Linked DNA regions of Xenopus tropicalis. The main gene of each other region encodes a partner of the protein of the gene in region 2 in a complex. Links are inferred from orthologs where the notes say so. Each region holds a gene or a part of one and is shown on either strand. Other genes may lie near its edges.

The links. Proteins that work in one complex are often made in the same cells at the same time.
Region 1: eif3j (region 2) and eif3e share a complex: the UniProt entries of both Homo sapiens proteins name them as parts of the eukaryotic translation initiation factor 3 (eIF-3) complex. The link is inferred for Xenopus tropicalis from reciprocal best matches to the Homo sapiens genes EIF3J and EIF3E.
Region 3: eif3j (region 2) and eif3i share a complex: the UniProt entries of both Homo sapiens proteins name them as parts of the eukaryotic translation initiation factor 3 (eIF-3) complex. The link is inferred for Xenopus tropicalis from reciprocal best matches to the Homo sapiens genes EIF3J and EIF3I.

The regions. Positions count from the first base shown.
Region 1 is NC_030682.2:133,666,302-133,673,946, forward strand, and holds the end of eif3e (eukaryotic translation initiation factor 3 subunit E), read right to left. Parts: intron 3,818-7,645; coding exon 3,715-3,817; intron 3,374-3,714; coding exon 3,239-3,373; intron 1,649-3,238; coding exon 1,610-1,648; 3' UTR 1,474-1,609; downstream 1-1,473. UniProt on the Homo sapiens protein: Component of the eukaryotic translation initiation factor 3 (eIF-3) complex, which is required for several steps in the initiation of protein synthesis.
Region 2 is NC_030679.2:118,202,345-118,209,651, forward strand, and holds the end of eif3j (eukaryotic translation initiation factor 3 subunit J), read right to left. Parts: intron 6,700-7,307; coding exon 6,605-6,699; intron 6,506-6,604; coding exon 6,394-6,505; intron 4,654-6,393; coding exon 4,492-4,653; intron 4,359-4,491; coding exon 4,285-4,358; intron 3,880-4,284; coding exon 3,745-3,879; 3' UTR 1,754-3,744; downstream 1-1,753. UniProt on the Homo sapiens protein: Component of the eukaryotic translation initiation factor 3 (eIF-3) complex, which is required for several steps in the initiation of protein synthesis.
Region 3 is NC_030678.2:86,499,364-86,507,008, forward strand, and holds part of eif3i (eukaryotic translation initiation factor 3 subunit I), read right to left. Parts: intron 7,618-7,645; coding exon 7,530-7,617; intron 7,365-7,529; coding exon 7,299-7,364; intron 6,753-7,298; coding exon 6,603-6,752; intron 5,944-6,602; coding exon 5,816-5,943; intron 3,525-5,815; coding exon 3,414-3,524; intron 1-3,413. UniProt on the Homo sapiens protein: Component of the eukaryotic translation initiation factor 3 (eIF-3) complex, which is required for several steps in the initiation of protein synthesis.

The sequences.
Region 1 (7,645 bases), on a different chromosome or scaffold from region 2:
TGTCAGACTAACTGGCCTATAGTTTTCAGGCTGAGAATGACATCCTTTTTTGAATAACAGAATCAAATTAGAAATTCGCCAATCTCTTGGCACCATGCCAGACCTCAATGAATCCTGAAAAATTGAGTGAAGAAGTTTGCCAACCACAGAGCAAAGCTCATTTAATATCCTGGGATGAATACCAGTGCTTAAAAGATATATTAAAGATGTAGACAAGATCCAAAGAACAGCTTTTAAAAGTCATGGAAAGTCTTATTTATGAGAAAAAGTTGGGATTGGTTAACTGGAGAAGATGCACGTAAAGTGATACTGACACCAAAAAATTTCTTATAAAGTATGAACCTACCTATAAGGTCATGTTGACTTTTTTTTCCTAAAAGTCCTGTTTTTCTACATAAATCCTACTAAAGATCCTGAACCCGACTGTCTGGCAACCCAACTGAAGCTTCTCAATCTGTGAAAAGGACCACGTCATAAACTGGGAGGATTCAGCTTGCCGTTTGCTTCAAGGAGCTCCCCCTCCCTCCCTCGCATAGCATGTGAACTAGATAGCAGGCAGGCTTGATCTTTCCATTGCCTGCCTACTTCAAAGGGCTGCCCCCCTTTCTGCACTTCGCACGAAGAATTAAATAGCTTTCCCGGGCCTGCCTGCTTCTAAGGGCTCTCCCTTCCCCCTCCCCATTACACATAGACAACGGAGCTGAGCTTGTCACATACCGACTGAAAGCAGAAGGGGTGTTGCAGGTTTGTGATTGGGCATATTTATTCATTTGGGAGGCATTTAAATTAAAACCCGGAATAAGGTAACAAACATGGCTGCTCCGTGGGTCTGTAATTAATGATACCATAATTATGAAGCAAAAAAACTTTGCAGATTTAGTTTATAAGGAATTTAAAGCTGATACAAATTAAAACACAACAGGTGTAAAAAATGTTTTTAAGTGGCTGTCAGTATCACTTTAAGGGGTGATATGATAATTGTATAAATATATAAGGGGATCATATAATAAATTGTCTGGCGCTTTATTCACCAGTATGTCTTTCCAGCAGACATGTGGGGTATTTTACAGTGTGAGCTGTGAAGTTGTGGAGCGGGTTGGATGCCTCTTTACCAAGTAAGAGAATACAGAGTTGCAGAAATTAGCTCTTGGTGTTGACCAAGGTTTTTCACCTTCCTCTGGATCATCTAACAAGTTGGTTTCATAAAGGCTTGATGAAGTGCCTTTTTTCAACCTCGACTACTATGTTGCTGACAGTTTGATTTCAAAGCTAAGAGATCACTACATTATAAATAAATACATAAACCCTATATATATTTGATAGTATGTGTGTTGAACAAAATGCTATGTATTTATTATATTAATATGGCAGTGGGAAATAAATTTGAAGAGCCCCGTACAATAAATGTGGTACATGAGTACTAAATCAGAAAAAAAAAAAAAATAAAAGCATAAAATAACCAATAAGTCCCAGTTAAAAGGAAGTGTACCCATTTTATTCAAACGCATGCCTTCCTTTAACCTTACAATGTGGCTTGGTTTTTGTAAGAGGAAAAGAAAGCATGGGTAACAGGGAAACTTTGAGCTGGTGTGAAGTTCAAATGAAGTCATCAATAGAATCCGGAATCCTGAGCTGCCCAGGTAGGTGCCTGCAAAATAAAAATATATATATTATATATAGGCATTGGGTCCTTCCATAATTTACATCTCCATAATTTAAGTCTACTAAAAACATGTAAGCATTAAATAAACCCAATAGGTCAGTTTTGCCTCCAATTAGATTAATTATATCTTAGTTAGGAAAACTGGTCTGTTCTTGTTAGCACTCTTTCCCCCGAAAAAACCCCTCTTAAGCTGGCCATACCCGCACCGATAATATCGTACACAACCTCGTTTCGTACGATATTCGGTGCGTATATGGCAAGTCAACCGATATCGCAGGAAGCTGCCGATATCGGTCGACTCGCCGATCGGGAAGGTTAAAAGATTTTGATCGGGCGCCATCCTATTGTTTCTACCTCCTTATCTGCCGTTTCAGCCCTGAACGGTGTGTGGCTGATTGTACGATTGCAAATCACCACGTGTGTCGCCACCTTTAGTCTGATGTGTAAAAATCTTATTTAATCATAACTTCAGGGGTGTGGCCCCTTGGGGTAATGCACTGACCTACATTATCTGGTTGGCCACAAGGTTATTGCAAAGACCAAATGGCCGATTTAGTAAAATGCCAAAAATCATTTTTCCATATCTTGACCTTGCTGTCCTTTATTTCCACTAAGAAAATGACAGAAACAGTGCAAAAATTCAACCTTAATTTGTAATAGTTTGCACCACCCCACAGCAGACAGTCAAATACTTTTAGGTGAGGGAAAAAATAAAAAAAGCTTTTAAAATCCACACAAATCAGATAAAATATTGTGCCGATATAGACTTTATCAATTAATGTACTAATGTTCATAACATATTGGCAAGCAAATTCAAGTAGAAATGGCATCTACCACAAATGCAACATTTTTTTTTTTATTTTATTTTTTTTAATTTGCTTGCCAATATATGTTATGAACATTAGTACATGAGCCATATAAGACAAGGGCAGAGACACTGCCTATTTAAAGGAAAAGTAACTCAAGTGTATCAAAGAATTTAAACTATAATGTTCGGCTACCAGACAATGGTAAAAGCAGTAGGTTTGCTTCTAAAACACTAATACAGCCCATATAAACACACTGCTGTATAGCCATGGTAGCAGACATTTAAATTGAAATAGGGCTAAATGGCACAGGTTATAGATAAGCTCTGTAAAACACCATTGCATTCTACAGAGTGAATCTGCTATGTAACCTGTTTCTTTTCACATCTTAAATGGCCGCCCTTGTTGCTATACAACAACTTTTTTACTCTGGTAAAACTTGTGTGTTTGCTTCAGAAAGACTACTATAGTCTGTATAAAAGAGCTGTTGTATAGCAACAGGGGCGGCCATTTCTAAGTGGAAATAAAAAACAGCAAGGTCAAGATACGGAACACTATTTTATTCACTTTAAAACACATTCATTTTTTGGTGTTACTGTTCCTTTAAGCCGTATCAAATCCTATATTGCTAAGAATGTTTAAATCCCAGCTCTATATAATTCTGATGTTTTTGAATATGGGGCTAGAACCTTAATCATTCTATGCCTGTGGCACGAATAGGAATTAAGCCTCACAAATAGAGCCGGGAGTGCAGAGCAAACATCTTTACCTCAGTTCTGCTGTTCTGGTTCGTTTTCTTCTCAATATTCATAGCCAGCATTTGGCTACGGAATGCAAGGCTCTTTGTCTTTTCAATCACTTGCTGATAAGGAGAGACGGCATTGTTTCCCATAACCACGTGACCCTAGAACGAGGATATAAAATATATTTTTGTATTTGGTTTATCAATATTAAACGTCAGATTTGAATAGACTCTGACAGCTCCCAGTAACACATTCCCACACAAGGTAGTATTATGGAAATCGACACAAATTAGACTTTAAAATAGAACTGCTGCATACAGAAACGGCAAGATATCCTAACCCTGCTAGCGGGTTCTACTGCTTAACTCAAACACCCACCCGCCACCTTAAATGGTCTGCAGCAATCCACAAATTATAAGCCATAAGTCAATGTCATTGCAAACAAAATGACTTCATTTGTTATGGTTCTGTCAGAATGAATGGCAGAAAATGAAAACCGTACCAGTTTGGAATCTATCTTGGCGTCCAGTCTTGCATTACGAATTAAGTTGACAATCCACCTTTCAGCTTCTTCCGGAGTCATATTCAGTTTGTCAGCCAACATGCTTTGAGGGAGAGTGGGGAGAAAAAATGTAAATTTTAACGCGACTGGATGGGATAGAGGAAAAATTATACAGTTTCATTCATAAGATCAATCTACTGATGAGAGACCATGTTGCACCCAATTATTTGCACTTTAGCAGACACTCCAAAATATGTATATGGACAGCCAACTGAAGGCTCTTCTTTATAATCTTTAATTTGTTGAGGCATTTTGGCTGGCACTGGTGCTTTGCACAGAGAATATCCGTGGTCAAAATGCCCCCTTATGGACTGTCATTGCCTCCCACACCAATGCACGGGATCTGCTCTGTCGGGCAAAGATGGCCATACATGGGCTGATAAAAGCGTTGAAGGGTGAACAGTCCGATTCGTCAGTTTATTGGCCTGGGTATAGGACCCTAAGACGGGCCTAACAAATGGGCATTTGTTAGGCCTGTCTAAGGGCTGAAAATAATCTAGATGTCGACTGGGCAGGATTCAAAATCTCGTCGGAGCAATGGGTGCATCGGCATACTGATGTGTTCCACATCACATCAATCTTATATCACTCAAGGTGGGTATATTGGGGAAAGATCTGCTTGTTTGGCGGGCTTGACAAATGAGCAGATCTTTCAGCGTAAGGCCAGCTTTAGACACCGACAGAGACAGGTAGACCCCCTTAGAGGCACTTTAGTGGTTTTAGAGTTTCTTGCATTTTTCATGGTTTAAAAAAAAAAACAGATTATCAAAAAGAATACAAACGGCCCCCTTAGAGTTGTTCGGTGTATAATGAAGTAGCAGAATTCTTAATGAATAAGATAAGTAAATGTAGGACTGGCCAGAGGGGGTGACTGTTTGGCCTGTTTGTATATATTGCAATATATGGTAAAACTATCCCTGTTTTGTTTTTAAGGGGAGGGCATTCCCCTTTGCAGAAAAACACACATTAGTTAACGGCCCCCTTAGAGTCTTTTGGTGTATAGCTTTGGTGTTACTGCCCAACACCGTTGAGTGCAAGAGAATGGACATAGTGACATTGCCCTAGGTAATAACCAGAGGACAGCTAATCTTTAAAGCCTATATTCACCTGCTCCATTTCGTATTTCGTTGCCTAAAGGCCCCCAAGGGACATTTCTGGAGTATTTGTGTGAGTTGTGCACGTTACCTCTATCCCAAAAGAAATGCCATGTTCCCACTGTCCCAAGCGCACATTTATGACAGCACTGCATTTAAGTCAGTAGCTGTTTTTAACTTTTGCCCAGACTTGCGGGAACTTTGAGATAATGGGTTAGAAACAGTGTTTCTCATTAACTCAATTAGTACCATGGTAGCACTCAGCTGGATAGTTACTTTGATGTGCCATGTCTCAGCACTTGTCCCCCAGACATCACAAGGCCTTTCATACATATATTTATGACTTTTAGTATAAAATGTGAGGAGGACATGCAACTAAATCTTACACATAAAGGAGGATCCAAAAACAACACTACACAAATCAACATATATGCATTTCCTGCCAATAATTTCCCTAATTCCCAGCGTTGCGCAATACCTGATTAAATACTATAGAGCTCCATATTCCAACGAGCAATGGTCGAGTCATCGGCTCTAGTTTTATTAGGAACTTACCGCTTCCCTGTTTCATTTATCTTTTCATTACCAAACAAAACCATGAGTAACGTGTAGACCAAATGAAGACAGTGTAACGCTCACACTTGACATACGAGTACATAAACTTGAAAGCAGGGAACTCTATATGACTCAAGGGGTAAAGCATATCAGATTTCCCAAATCCCCTTCATCTGTATGCAAATGTTGAAAACAGACATGAAAACAGAACTTCTAGAGTTAAAATTGATATTTGAAAGAGGTAGTTTAACTTTTAATATGTTATAGAACAACTAATTTTTTAATCATTTTCCTTTTACCCTTTCCAGATTTCAAGGAGGGTCACTGACCCCAACATCACAAGAAGAAAAAAAAAAGGTTTACGACCTACAATGTCTGAATTAAAAATTTGAACACAAAAACTTCTCATTAAACAAACTGTGGCCCCGATGGCGACATCTGATAGAATCGCACTAAACTGCTATGGCTATTATTCTGTCTCTTCGCGTCACACCTCCAAAATGAGAAAAATCAATGAGCTGTGAACAAAGCAGAGGGACGCGCTCAAACAGAACTCCAGCGAGAGGCAAAGTGAGCGCCCGTAATTATACAAGCTAGCACATGGTGTCCGAGAAGCTTTTAATTACAGCTATTGGGGCTATTACCTGCAAACCAGTTAGCGGCGGTGGGTTTTTTTTTCTTCTTTTTTTGCTTCGTTCCATAGCACCATATGGCAAGGAGTAAGAATATTTTAAAAAATAAATAAAATGTATGTTTATTATACAGGTATGGGATCCATTATCCAGAAAATTCCAAATTGTGGGAAGGCCATCGCCCATAGACTCCATTAAGAGCAATAATTCAGATTTTTTTTTTAAAGGATTTCCTTTTTTTTCCTGTAATAATAAAACAATACAGGTATGGGATCCCTTATCCGGAAACCCATTATCCAGAAAGCTCCGAATTACGGAAAGCCCGTCTCCCATAGAACCCATTTAATCAAATAATTCAGAATTTTAAAACTAATTTCCTTTTTCTTTGTAATAATAAAACAGAACCTTGTAATTGATCCCAACTAACATATAAATCATCCTTATTGGATGCAAAACAATCCTATTGGCTTTAATTAATGTTTTATTAATTTTTTAGTGGACTTAAGGTATGGAGATCCAAATTACGGAAAGACCCCTTATCCGGAATACCCTTGGTCCCGAGCATTCTGGATAATGGGTCCTATACCTGTACCTTCTACTTGATGCCAACTAAGTTATAATTACCCCTTATTGGGGGCAGAACAGCCCTATTGGGTTTATTTAATGGTTAAATGATTCCCTTTTCTCTGTAATAATAAAACAGTACCTGTACTTGATCCAACTAAGATATAATTACCCCTTATTGGGGCAGAACAGCCCTATTGGGTTTATTTAATGGTTAAATGATTCCCTTTTCTCTGTAATAATAAAACAGTACCTGTACTTGATCCCAACTAAGATATAATTACCCCTTATTGGGGGCAGAACAGCCCTATTGGGTTTATTTAATGGTTAAATGATTCCCTTTTCTCTGTAATAATAAAACAGTACCTGTACTTGATCCCAACTAAGATAGAATTAATCCTTATTGGATGCAGAACACTCTTGTTAAGTTTATTTAATTTTTAAATGATTTTTTTTTTAGCAGACTTAAGGTATGGAGCTCCAAATTACAGAAAGACCCCTTATCCGGAAAAGCAGAGATCCCGAGCATTCTGGATTATGGGTCCCATACCTGTATAAACCCAACAGGATTGTTTTGCCTTAACTACGATCATTTACTTTTTCTCTATAATAATAAAGCAGTTCATTTTTAAAAGTATAAATTGTTGATTTATGTTAAGTCTATGGGAAATGGTCTTCCCGTAATTTCAGAGCTTACTAGTTTATAGGTTTGTGGATAACAGATCACATCCCTGTATTATGTTGTAGAAATGTTATTTAATTCTGTTAAGCATACAAACTACATTCGATCTTTGGGATGTCTATCATTCCAGCAAAAAGAACAAACACCAAATTGTTCAGTTAATTAACGTATAATTATTAACAGGAAGCAGATACAATGGCACTAAATTGTGGGAAACTAAGGAGTAGAAAAAGCAACATACTACTAAAGATAGCCTAGAGAGGTGGAGTGGGGGGGGGGGGGGGGGGGGGGGGGGAGAGAGGAAACAAGCGGCAATTATTAGTATGATTAAAGAAGAATGGTTA
Region 2 (7,307 bases):
AATCTGTTCCTCCAAGATGACACATTAGTGGGACGGAGGAAACCATTGTTGGAAATGCTGCCCCCACCCGCACATGCCTGCTTTTTCTTTTAAGCTAATGCCAGACGAAGTGTAGGGCAGATATTTTCATCAAGCGTAAAAACTGCTAATGTGCCTGCACCCGAATGAATGGGATACGCTTGGGTGCAGGCACGTGTAGCTGAAATACGCATAAATACGCAAGACTTTCAAGCTCGCTTGCCAAAAATATCCGCCCTATGCCTCATCTGACATCAGCCTTAGAGCTAAACCTGACTTGGGACAGAGCATAGGTCAAGCAGGCAATGCAGCAGTACTTCTATGCTTTATGGCTGAGATTACAGCTATCTTTATAACACATCATGCATATCAGAATGGTCAGATCCTATTGTGCCAAAGAATTCAACATGCACAGTATGCCTTGATAATAACAATTTCAATAATTTTAAGGAAGATATTTTAAATTACTCGCAGCATAATGTGATATCTACAAGTCTGTTGTTAATACAAACGAGCTTGTTACCAGAGTTTACAGAAATGTTGCTTTCCCCTCAGGGCTACTTTGTGCTGAACGCTGTTCTTTCAGAGTATCAAGCCCTGGTCACTGCTTTAACCATGTGATATTATGCTCTGGCAGTAAAGGCACCATTGAACACTAAATTGAGTTCTCTCTCCTGGAAAAAGTAATGGCCAACTGGTAAATGGCTTTTCTTTTAGAGCTTAACATGGGGAGTAACATTTGGTGAAAGACGGCTGGGGCCCCTGGTCCCATTGAAAGCAAGGCTACAGCATAGTGTGATATTCTTGCCTAAAGGTGGCCATACCAATTCAGCAGCCTTTCTGCCCATATTTGGTCACTGCGGGCAGGCCTTCCCAAAAGAAATCTGGAATCAAATTGGCCAGATCTCTATGAGGCAAGATATGATTTTCCCATCAGATCAGGGAACATTGGATAGTTGATGCAGTCCTCGGTCTGACAGTGCCCATAGCTGCTATTTTAAGTCGTGCTTAAGTATTATTGCTAATGAAAGCAAAGCCTGGCTGTACCTTGCTCTTCCCTGCATTGCTGGTGCTGGCCATATGCACAACGTTACAATAGTTTGCTCTCCTCCAGCCAATGATCAGTTTCCCACAATACACTGGATTGTTACTTAGAATTAAAATGATACTGGTATATTCCTAAAATAGTCAGCATAACTAGGCAAGAATGGCCACAACCTTCTTTTTTAAACAGTAGCGCCTCAAGCCTGTGGTACCGGCCCATCTCTAGCAGGCCATGTAACAATGTTGCCAGTATGAGTCAAGCCAGTGTATGGTTCACATTATAGGGTTGCACCACCTCCATCCAACGAAGCAGCTCTCTCTCTGCTTATTGTGTCTGCAGGTTAACACTGGGCTGTGGGCAGAGAAACTTTGGTTCTAAACAAAGGACTTTGACTTATTTGTATAATAAACCCTTCCTTCTAAACAGGAGTCACAAACAGTACCTAGGGGAAGGAATGGGTTGTTTACATAGTGCTCAATGTCTCTATTTAAAAAATCTCCTGATAAGTAGAACAATAATCCAGGAGTGCTATTAAATAAAAGGAAAAAAATGGATTTCTTTTTTTAAACACAAGCTTCATGATTTGGTTATGTTGAACATAGGTTCATATTTTCCCTTAAAAAAATGTGAGTTATAAGAGCAAAGGGAAACAAGCAAGAAAACAAAAAAAAAAGGGAGACAACATTGAAACAAGTTGGATGTATATATTTTACTTCATTTCACACACTTTGTTGCTGTTATTTGAAGCTGCTGGTGCCAATAAGGAATACAGTGAAGATGGAACTTATGGTGCCTGTCCCAGTTATTTCTAGTAAGAATGCGTAGTGTGGATAAAGGCTTAGTTTGCTCATATCATGCATCACCCCCCCAAAGAAAAATAAAATCCTTAAGTAATGTGATTCTCTGTCAGCAGTGACTGTATATTGTGCGCTCAGCCATGGAGTTACCAGCTTTTTAAAGGTAACCAAAGGTCTCCCATTTGAAAGTGAAGAACACGTAACTTCGACTTATGGTAAAAAAGATCTAATCCAGCCATGAGACTATAATATACCCGTTAGATTTCCCTTAATACACAGAATTAAATATGCTGGTGTGGGTTTTAGCTGTACAGACAAGTGGTTTCTGGCATAATGTCCCTTGAACAGGCCTTTTACATAATTGCAGCCCCACTGGCTGTAGGCGGCTACAGGGAAGACCGAACAGACAGTAATTGTGCCTTTACCTTTAAACCGCAAGCAGACTAACCCCCATGATAGAGAAGCTACGGAAACCAAAGCAAGGAAAAAAAATATTCAGTATTTCCATTAGGCAAATGCATAAGGGAAATGAGAGATGGGAAATATTGTGACCCTCAGTCCTTTGCCTAGAACAGTTCATAGTCGGGGGGGGGGGGGGGGAAGGAAACTAAAAATAAAAGTTGTCAACAAGGAAGATGAAAAAAAAAAGATCAATACAAGGTATCAAGGCAAAAGCAAAGGAGAGCTGCAAAGAAATAACATATGCATAATTTTTTTTTTTTTTTTTTTTCAAACATTGTTAATATGTACATAAATACAGCTTGTCTTCCCAACGCTATTAATTCCATCTGCGCTTTAACAGCATTATACATGGTAGAATAAACCCACTAATAATGACTTACTGGAGGTGGTCTCTCTAGCTCCCTGCTCCCTGGTGCACTACACTTTGCCAAAGACTCAGAAGCCAACCTTGCCTATGCAGGAGAGAGCACACTGGCCAATCTTGTCACAAGGATGAGTTTATTAAATTAGTTGTCTTATAAAACAAACATTGCAGTCTCATTGTTAATATAACAATTCTCCCAAAGTAGGACCTGTTTGCAAAGCGCCATCCAGTGGGTGAGCAGAAGATTAAGAGAAAGGGCCAGACCTTGAACCTTGGTGCAAGAGTCAAAAAGCAATAAACCAATCGTGAAACCACACTGACACGCAATCACTAAATAAATATCAAGACCCTATGGCCCTCCCCTCCGGCAGAGCCATCAAGAACTGCCAGTTGGCCACAAAGTCATGATGACCCACATGTTTTGGTACTGGCAGCTCCAACAGAAGGCAGCACATATAGTCTGATGCACCAGCGGTATCTCCTTACCATTCTGCATCTTCACAGTTCCACATACTGTAGAGGTGATTTCAGATTGTTTAAAGTTTTAATATGGAAAAGCACCAAGCTGAGTCCATCAGGAATCACAGTTCAAAGCAGGAGATTCCTCTAGCACAAAGCTAAGAAACCAATATATATTAAAAAAAAAAAAAAAAAACTAAGATGGCTGGGAGGGCAGTGTCAATGAGGCAGGAAGTAAAGAGCCAGAAGAAAAAGAAAGATTTAATAACCTGCCCTGCCCAGAGAGAGAGAGACCATATTCCTAGGCAGAAAGCAGAGGCATGACTCTGTTTGTAACATGGCAGAGCTGAGCGTGCATGCCACAAGCAGAGTGGAGAAGGTTGCGAGCCTTGAGTTAAGGGGATGCTGAATAGAGCTGCATAGGTTAATTGTTTAATGTGCGATGTGGGCATCAACCAGTAGAATCCAGATACACACACCATGGCCATTTTCTTTTATATGGCCCGTTGAGGGGGGATGATTTCTTTGACTGTAGCATTTGGCAGAGTCCTGAGGGAGGAGAGCGCACTCCTTAATGAGGGCCACAAAGAACCAGCGTGTCACATGAAATCGTCATACTCTCGTCCATAGCCCTCATCCATGCCCCCATAATCTTCTAGATCATTCTTCATGTTGGCTTTTAGTCCTCCTCCCGGAACAACTCCCTTCTTTTTCTTTTTGGCTTTACTTTGTTGCTGTAATTCAGAGACACAATTGTAGTTTATCCAGGCAAAAAAATATGCTAAATCTCTACCTGCACAGAAGCAGGTTACAGGGGGCATATAACCTACCTATAACAATGACCAATGATTCATGATTTTAGCAGCTTTTACACTGCATGGCAAGAGCGGGGTAGAACATATAAAGCTTAACACTACCCTGCTAATGTCACATTGAGCAAAACAATAGAGCGGTGATGCATGAAGAGATGCTTCTTATCTATATAAAATAAACATTTGCTATTCTTCTTAGCGCTCAGCAGGGGGCACTCATGTTACACCTTCATGCTAACATCATGAAACAAGTCCTCTAATAGGTTGTCATTTTTCTATTACCTTGAAATAATTTCTTTAATACTCCTCCCACCCAAATAAACTCACCTTCTCTTGCTTCTGTTTCTCAAAGCACAACACTGTTAGAGAATTGTTGATTTTCTTCAGGTCATCCACTTCCACTAAAACAGGAAAATACAAAAATACTTCAGGCCACCGCAATATATGGCAAAATTAATGACTAACAAAGTTCATGTGATAAGTCATGAATGAAAAAGCTTTATGGAAATTGGAAAGGAGGAGAGGCTGGCTTACATGAGACGCACACTTCCCGCACAAGGACCTCCAGGAAGCCTGGGTAAAATAACGATCTCTCATACTGGGTGATCTTTTCTTTGAGGAGCTTCCCAAATTCTGTAAAGTCTTCTCTTGAGGACGGATTCATGGCATCTATTCCAGTAACGGTAACATTGTCTCCTGCAGATAATAAACAAACTTTTTTTTAAGGTTTCCTTCCCTCTTCACTGTGACCATATCTGTGCTAAAGGCCACCCTAACATAGCTGCATGTTGGGGAGCAGGTAGAGCCAGGCCTGTGTGCCAGAGCAAGAAGCCAGGCAAAAAGGCAGGTAGTTAATGTCCCAGGCTGGCGAGTTGGGGTGTGATGTTGGACACGGCTACAATATAAGTCAAGCAGAGCGGGGTGGCCGAGTGCTATACTCACTTCGGCACCGCACTGTCCAAGCCTCCTGCTCATCCTAAGCTGCTGAAATCTGCCTGAGTGGTCTAAATAGCGCAATAGGGCTAGGATGCAGAAAGGGGCTACCATGTGAGGCAGACAGGTAGCCCTGCTTCTGGTATCACCCAGGAGTCAACATTAACCACTGACCAAATAATTTCTCTCTAAGGGGTATATTTATCATGCTGTGCAAAAAGTAGAGTGAAGCATTACCAGTGATAACCAATTAGCAATTAGATATCAACAATTAGCAGCCAATCAGATGCTTTGCTTTTCTATGAGCAACATCACCGGCAATGTTTTACTCCACTTTTTACACAGCATGATATATATACCCCCAAGTATCCCTAGAGACATGACTGTCCAACCTCCTAGAAGCAGGACACTTGAATTACCCCATAGATCACCTGTGTCCCCGAGACGACAGAAAATAAATAGTAGTAGTATGCAACTTTTCAATATACATTAAACTTTTCATTAGTGAATTTAACAAAACTGCAGAAAAAATTTGGTTGTGTCAAAGTCGCATAGTAGCTGCATTCTGAAAACTTTCTGCAGTTTTGCAACGTTTTCAGCAAAGCAAATGGGACAGATTCGCTCATCACTACAGCTGGTTTCTGTCAGAGTCAGAACTAGCAATGAAAACACACAAATATAGCAATTACAACGCACTTAAATAAAAAAAAAAAAAACCTAACAATCTAAAAGCTTTCTTAACCTGACTGCCAAGGTACGTATGAAGCCAAACCCACAGAGGGCAGAACACAATCATATGAAGGTGGTCTGCAGTCATGGCATGCATCGATAACTGCATTACGGTCACTAGCAGAAACCAACCAACAGATGTCAGAGTTTCCTCCCAATCCTTGTAAGATAATATGCTGTGCCACCAAACAAATACTTGGGCATTCAAATGGCTGTATGAAAGTATTTTTATGGAGGGGCGGAGGACTTATGGGATTGGCATTTATTAAGTTCTAGGTAGGAGAGAAATGATAAGTCTCTCAGGTTCTTTATAGCCTGTTGGGGCTAGAATATGAATTGTTGGGTTTGTCTATAGAAGGGAAGAAAGGCATTGGCCAAAATGCGTTTCTAAGGATCTGGGAGAACACAGTGATGTACGTAATACAGTTGTGAAGCTATGGAATAGAGGTGGATATCTGGAAGTTCCAGGTAACATGTAGTGCTGTCAGTTTCACAATAAGCAAGTCAAGCACACGTGTGACAGCAACTCTATTACAGAGATAACATACACCTATGTTTAACCCCAATGCACCACCCCTAAGCGAGGGGATACCTGGGGGGACAAACCAAGAGATAGCAGTGCAGCACTAAGTTCCCAGGGTCACTGTTTTCTAAAGCAGAGGCAGTGACACAGGCTAAAATGTTTTTAATTACTATGTGGAAGACTAAAATTAGCAGCCCCTCAGTGATTTTAACTTGCGCTAGCAAGGATTGCTTATTGTGTGGCAGACTCACCAAAAGCCTCCTTTGCTAATTCTAAGTCGGAGTCCTCCTGTAACTTCTTTAGGCGAAGCTTTTCTGCCAGCTGTTCCTCTGGACTTAACTCTGGTGCGGTTCCTTCCTTCTCCTGCAGAGAGGAAGTGTAAGCTTTGTGCCATTTCCCATGGTACTTAATATAAGCCTGTAAACTATATCACAATGCAATAGGATCATTTCAAGCACTTACCTGCTGGTTTACTTCCTCCTGCCTTTTTTTATGCAACTTCTCTTTTTCTCTTATTTTTTCTAGTAATTTTTTCTTTTCAGAAACCTTTGGTTCTACTAGGGATAAAACAAAGCAATTACACAGTGAGTTAAAGTGGCCATATATGATCAGATTTGTTTAAAGAAACACCTAAAATGAAAGTGCTTTAAATTAAAGCAGAAGGAAAGACTAAGTCACTTGGGGGTGCCAAAATGTTAGGCACCCCCAAGTGACTTTAATCGCTTACCTCGTACCCCGGGCTGGTGCCCCTGTTAGAAGAAAATCGCACCAGCCTGGGGTACCTGTAGTGAGCGCTTCCTCTTCCTTCTTCGCTTGCTTGCACAGTAGAGTGAGAAGCCGAACTTTAATAAAAAAGTCTGCTTTTCGCTCTAATGTGCATGTGCCGGCTCAGGGAACAGAAGGAAGCGCTACAGGTACCCCGGGCTGGTGCGGTTTTCTCCTAACAGGGTCACCAGCCCAGGGTAAAAGGTAAGCAATTAAAGTCACTTGGGGGTAAATTGGCCGAACACTGTTGGCAAGAATGAGTATAGCCACCATTAGATATTCACTACAGCAGCACACACTTGCCAAAGCAGTCAGCCATATTTTATAGATGGTCTTCCCCTCACTGAACAACAAGGCCCTACATTACCCCCCACCCAGAGCCATGTCTTGCTCTCAAGCA
Region 3 (7,645 bases), on a different chromosome or scaffold from region 2:
ACAGCAGGTCATTTTGTGACCTATGGCTTAGGTAGGGAGTTGAAATAGAAAAAGTGCATTTTTTAGTGTGGGGAGCATGGGCGTCCGCAGAAAATTTTCCAAGGGGGGGCAAGTAAGCTAGCATCATCCTGCAACAGATAAATATATATATATTTTTTTTTTTTTGCAGGATGATACTAGGGGAGGCTAAATATGGCCCATACACAGACTGACCTACAGCTAATGTGACACTTAGTGGATTCACTGCTGACGTAAAAAGTTAACCTCCCAACTACCTCTTGCCGTTCCCACTGACTCCCAGGGATACTGTACAAAAGTGCGGGTGGGGGTGCTTTTTTTTTTTACCCTAAAATGTTTAGTATTAGTAGTAAAAGTATTCATACGCGCACTTCTGTTAGGGGATCTGCAAACATTTGTGTTTGGGATCAGTTAGCTTAAAGGGGTAGTTCACATTCGAATTCACTTTTATTTTTAATGGTTTTTCAGTTATTTAGCTTTTTGTTCAGCAGCTCTCCATTTGGTATTTCAGCAGCTATCTGGTTGCTAGGGTCTTATTTACCCTAGCAACCAGGTAGTGATTTAAACAAGAGATGGGAATATGAATAGTTAAGGGGCCTACTTGGAAAAATAAGTAATACAAAATTATAATAATAATAAAATTGTAGCCTCGCAGAGCAATATTTTTTGGCCCCCATTTGAAATCTGTATAGAGGCAGAAGAGAAAGGCAAATTATTCAAAAAAATTAATTAGGAAGACCAATTGCAAAGTTGCTAGGAATAGGCCATTTTATAACATACTAAAGGTTAACTTAAAAGTGAACCACCCCTTTAGATGTGTTTATGTTAGTTTTATAGCAAGAAAGGCAGTGGGTACTGACTCCCCATTATATACAGTGAGATGCAGTCCGTATTTACAAACCCAGCACATTATATGCCATGAGGAGCAGTGGGTACTGATGGCAGATATTCAGGCCCTGGCACTATAACACTGGCACGGATACACAACATTGGCCCCACTGTAACTAACTATAAATGAACAAAACAATGACAAAAAAAAAAAAAAAATAGTAAGTGCAAAAAACAACAACACATATATAAACACACAATGAGCTTTTTCAGAGGGAAAGAGTTAACTTACCCTCCATGTGTTAGGGTAGGGGATAGATTATAAATTAAACAATTTAATGTCAGCTAGTGATTCTTTAGAACTGTATAGTACCTGTGGGATGAAAACTGCAGCAAAAGTTGAGAGTTGGTTCTCAGGTAAAGTTACAGCTGCAGATTCATCTTTTCAGTCTTTATTTCTGTTTCCAGTTTGCAAAATCTCCCGATCCCTGTGTGCATCTGTGCTCTGATTGGTCAATTTTACTGTCTGTCAAGGAAGCTGTGCTCTGATTGGTGAATCCACAAGAAGAAAGATCCAATCGGAGCACAGCAAAAACGGGCTTGAGGGGAAAGTGCAGAAACGGAGTAAGGTTTTTGGTTTTTTTGCTACTTTTCCAGGGGGGGGCAAGTGCCCCCTCTTGCCCCCTTCTGTGGACGCCCATGGTGGGGAGAGAGGTTTTTATTTAAGTGTTATCTGTCAGAGAACCCATTAGCTGTTATTAAAAACTTCTTCAAGCAGATAATCCCAGTTTTTTTGCTCACACAGAGCAGGAAAGTACTTTCTCCAGTTGAGTAAAAAAATGCAGTCATATTAATGTTATTATTTTATAATAGCATACAGTATGGATAGTTTCTTTGTTTTATGTTGCAATAAAATACAGCAAAGCTCTGAACAACTCATCTACATAAAGGAGAAAGAAAGGTAAAAACTAAGTAAGCTTTATCAGAAAGGTCTATGTAAATACAGCCATATGCACTTACAGAAATGCTGAACTTCTCTGAAAAAAAAGTAGTAGTGTCTGTAATTCCTGTGCCAGAGACATGCAGCTTTCTGTTCTCTGCTCTTTCCTGTTCCCCCCTCCCACAAGAATGCTAAGAACTCACTCCCCCCTTAGGAATGTGGATCTGAGCCAATCAGCAGGAAGCTGACTCATAGTCTTACTAACTGAGCATGTTCACTTGGCCTGCATGTCTGTGCAGGAGTGAGGCATTATGGGAACTTTCTTTACACAGCTCAGCATTTTTTCTTCCTGTTTGGCTTCAGACAGGTGAAAAAAGGGGAGACTTAAGGGCACTATTGAGACAACTGAAGATATGCCTGCAGCTTGAGATTAACTCTTTATTAGCCTTTCCTTCTTTTAACTCTACCAAACATGGGCATGCTGAGCACCTGTACAAAATAATGAAAAGTGTAAAAAACAAGTTTTCACCACCACTAGCAGATTACTACTTCAACTTGGCTATTATTCACATAGACCAAAGTGTTCAATGTGATATGAGAAGTACCATAATGTGATAGTGCAGTACCATAATATAGCAGACTATTCCACAAATGATAGCAATTAATGGCAATCAGTTGGCTAAGCCACAATTAAAAAAAAAAAAAAAAAAGTCTCTTCAAACAAATTTGTGTATAGCAAAAAGAAAATGCAAAGGAAAGCTGCCAAGGAAAACACAGCCAAGTCTTACGATATTTACAGGTGTAATCCTCCCTATAAGGCTGAACTGCACCAGTTCTGTTCTCATATCAAACTGAACACTTACGTTTATGTTGATAACAGCCATGGTGGGGTAGCATTATACTAAAGTAACTTTTTGCTGTAGGTTCCTATTAGTGGAACCTATAATCAGTGTGAATTAAAAAATATCAGTGTGCAGCTGTGCACCTTTCTTACACTGTATACAGTTAAAGCACATATGGATTTTTTCTTTTAACTTGTGTTGATAAAATCTAAGATATTGAGAAAATTATTTGGGAATCATGGCTGTCCATTTGTAATACAAACCAAACCATGGGGCATATATGCTTTAACTAGAGCACTGGTGGCAGCATGAAGGTAAGTTTGGGGGATATTTCTTATGCTAATGCTTATGTGTACTTCTACATACACCTAAACATCCTGCTTAGGTCAGTTACGGTTAGATCTGGAGCATACACATATTTGCTGTTCTAGATGTTCTTAAACTATTGCTGATTATTACACCAATGTTTTCTTATATCTGTAAGCCTGTTATGAGCTAAAGGGACCCTGACAAAGGTTTTCATGCAGACAAAAATTAAACTTTTCAATTTATATAGGTTTCAGCTAGGAGGCCAGTAGCACACATGGCATTTTAAATGCTGCTACCTGCAGCGGGGATCAAAGCTACTTGGTCAAGATCACTGATGGATATCATTTAACAGATGGATCAAAGATCAATATACCAACACATTTTAGGACAGATAAATTCTGCTTCCTGAAAATAACTCAGGACAAATGGCATTTGTGTCATAATTCACCAAGCTTCAGCAGATGATTGTGCCTTACCTTGGAGGTGCAGTCTTTGGATGCTGTAACAAACATTGTCATGTCTCGGGATGTCTGAATGTCATTGATCTGCTTGGAATGCTCTTTGATGCTGTTAACTATTTCCCCAGACTGAAAAGAAGAATATCAGATATAATTGGTAGCACATATGGCAGCAATAGTTATTCCACAAATCACCTATAGTCATTTTTTCTATTTCACTTATTGATTCGGTTTGTTAAAACTGTAAGAAGCAGTAAATTTAAAGTGCGATTGCTATGGGTATATAAGATATTTCTAGTAGACATTAAAGGATAAGAGTGCCTTACAATAGTGAAATAAATAAACATGCTTAAATAGTAATCCATAAAGTCTAATATTTCTGTTCATTAGGCAGCTGTCGCTGCACACCTTCAAAGGTGTGGTACTGAAATTTAAGAAACATCTTTTGAGAAAGTGAAGTTGTTGCACCATGCTAACAACTTATTAGTGCTTATTTTTTATCCTATTGTGCCACATAAATGCATCAAACATACAAAGAATACGGTCAACTGACAACACCAACAATGGTTCTACTAAATCAAAACTACTGTTTTAAAATGCAGACCATTTGTCACGTGTGGCATTTCCTTCACACATGGAGAAAATCCAATAAGGCACTCTACTGCTATTACTAATAAAAATATTAGCGAATGAATATAAAATGATAGATTGGCCTGTCCAACCAACATATGGCAAAAAATTATCCAGATGTGGACAGGAAAGGTATGATTTTCGCATCTGTTTGAGGGCTGCATTGGCTCATTGATGCAGTCCTGTCTCTTAAGGCTCGTAGTCTCGTTGTAGTAATTAGATTATTTGTCCCCAGGGCCATCAAATAAGCCCAATATCACCCACCTTAGGGCTCTGGCACACGGGGAGATTAGTCGCCCGCGACAAATCTCCCTGTTCGTGGGCGACTAATCTCCCCGGATTGCCATCCCACCGGCGAAAATGTAAGTCGCCGGTGGGATGGCACACGCTGCGCAGGCGATTTCGGCAAATCGCCGAAATTGCCTGCGCAGCGTGTGCCATCCCACCGGCGACTTACATTTTCGCCGGTGGGATGGCAATCCGGGGAGATTAGTCGCCCACGAACAGGGAGATTTGTCGCGGGCGACTAATCTCCCCGTGTGCCAGAGCCCTTATGTAGGAATATCTGCTCATTTGCTGACTTCTTTAAACGAGTTAATCTTGTAGTGTATGACCAACGTTAGTAATAGCAAATTACATTGATAGTCAGTATGAATTACTACAGTTGAATATTAAAAAAATGCATAAAAACATAAACTTGTGGTGTAGCCTACTAAATATCCAGGGGTCACCACAGGCTATGCAGCTGGCAACAAAGAATTAACTTAGTGGACTTGCCCTCATTTGGCTATAACCAAGAATGAATTGGACTTATCCAAGTCTTTCTCAGCATTTAAACACAACCAAAGAAAGCTATATTCCCTTAGTGTTGTGCAAGACTTGGATGCTCTGCTAAGTAGAAGCAACACACTGCTTTATCTCAACAGAGTTCCCAAAACACCGCGCAGAACTGAAAGGGTTTATAAACCCGCAAAGAGAGAAATTTTGTTAAACTGCAAAATTAATTTTGGAGTCCCTAATTGGAAACATGTTGTGAAAATTGTCAGTACAGGTATGGGATCCCTTATCCAGAAGCCCGTTATCCATCTCCCATAGACCCCATTAAAAGCAAATAATTATTTTTTAAAAAAATTTTAAAAAATGATTTCCTTTTTCTCTGTAATAAAACAGTACCTTGTACTTGATCCCAACTAAGATATAATTAATCCTTATTTGAGGCAAAACAAGCCTATTGGGTTTATTCAATATTTAAATGATTTTTAGCAGACTTAATTATAAAGATCCAAATTACGGAAAGATCCCTTATCCGGGAAACCCCAGGCCATTACTTTAATAAAAAAAAAATCAGCTGGTTAAAACTCAACTCAGTCTAAAATATAAAAAAAAAGGTATGGGACCCATTATCCAGAATGCTTGGGACCTGGGGTTTTCCGGATAAGGGGTCTTTTTGTAATTTGGCTCTCCTACCTTAAACAGTAATTAAACCCAATAGGATTGTTTTTCCTCCAATAAGGATTAATTATATCTTTGCAGGGATCAAGTATAAGGTACTGTTTTATTATTACAGAGAAAAAGGAAAACATTTTTAAAAATGTGAATTATTTGATTAAAATGGAGTCTATAGGAAATGGCCTTTCCGTAATTCGGAACTTTATGAATAATAGCTTTCCTGATAAGGGGTCCGATACCTGTACTTGGAAGGGTAAATATATCATTTTAGGTGAGCTTATCTGTTTACTCAGTTAATCAGTACATGCCATAAAGTTAAAAATAATCATCTTGGGCTTTACCTTGGCGCTGTACTGGTTCAGCTCCCCATTCTCATGGCCAGCGATTATGTTCTCTCCAAGTGGTCCCCACACTGCACTGGTTATCTTTGACTCACTGCAAGGAATTTTCATGTATGGCTCGTTGTCTTCTACACAATAATAATAATAGGGCATTCATTGCAAGAAAATTGTTATCCGTGATGTACAGAACATTTTTATAAATGTTAATTTTTTAATGCAACAAAAAATCTGGACCCTTCACCACCTGCACGGACAACTGAGGGTACTACTGGTGTGCAGAAAACAGGAATATACTAAAGAGATTAAAAAGAATCACATACTGCATTAGGTCTGTATATATTTAGGCCAACTGCCCCTGGACCCAGTTCTTGACATAGGTAGAGCTAGTTTAGTGTAGGTTCACCCTCATATCAGTTGTGTTAACACCAATTAGCAGTTTCCCATCAGTTACTACGCACACAGGGTGGTACAGGCACTTATAGCTACCACATGCGTGATAAAGCCCTGTGATAAAGACGACTTCTATCTAATCAGGATATTTGCTGCATAAACTGTATTAGAGTAAAGCCCTCAGTGAGGCCAGAGGAAATGCCCTTTACTGTGCCACATGGTGAACTCCTAAGTAACATCAAATGTATTATATGGGGAACCTGGATTCCCAATATAATTTTACTGGGTATTATATAATATAAAAAAAATAAAGGCAGCTTCTCCATTTGGATGCCGCTCTAAATACTGACCACGCAGTAACTACCACATAATTGTTTAAGTCACTCCATGGCCTTACCAATTTGTGTAGGGTCTCTCAAGTCAATGAAGCTCACAAAGCACTGGTACCCCATCTGTTTGTCAGTGGAAAACATGATTATGTTGCCACCAAAATCGAAGCCGCAGGTCCTTACAGCTGAGTTTGTCTCTAAGAGAGCCAACTGTTTCCCTAGAAAGACAAAAAAAAGTAGGGTAGTAGGATAGCTTGAAATCTACAAGGAAGATGATAAAACAGAAAAGATATCATTGGGCATATTCTCTAAAGGGACAAAAATGTAAAAATCTGATGCTACATATATACATGGAATGAAATATACTTATTATTTACATACAGTCTGGTTGTTGTAATTTCCAGCCCATTGTTAATTATTGATAGTTGAAATAGTTTCAGGTTGGTAAATTTAAGATGGCAAGTTCAATTTTTTTATGGTCATGTACAAGTACATTAGGAGCACATTATATACAGAAAGTGGATAGGTTTTATTTGGCCAACCAAATTTGGGCAGATCGCAAATTTCCACAAGGTTCACCTGTGGTGAGTTGAAAGGTTAATATATCTTTGTGTATTTTGTGGGGGGCTCTCTATATACAGCAATATGTATTTTAGATTTAGTATATCACCAAAATCTGAAAAAAATTTTACAATTGGTACAGGAAGGATAACAAAGGATAAGCAATACATGAACATCAAGGAGTAATTTCTCCAGCCACTAACCTGTTTCACAGTCCCACAGCCTGCATGAGTTATCTGCAGATCCAGAAAGTACATGCCGCGTGTCCCCTGTCTGAAGTTAAGAAAGTAGACCACCAAAAAAGTATGTAGTTTGTCATTAAAACATAAAAAAGTCACTTATATGTATGTATTTAGTATTTCGTAACAACATAATTTTATTATGAAGACTTCACCTATACTGAAAAAAAGTGTAAAAGAACTCAATAAGGATACAGTCCACATCCACACACCAAACTGCTCCTGTGTGTCCACTGTAAGTTCCCAGACGCTCTCCATTCACCGAATACCAGACATTAACCACCTATGAGACAAGACACAATTTTAAATAA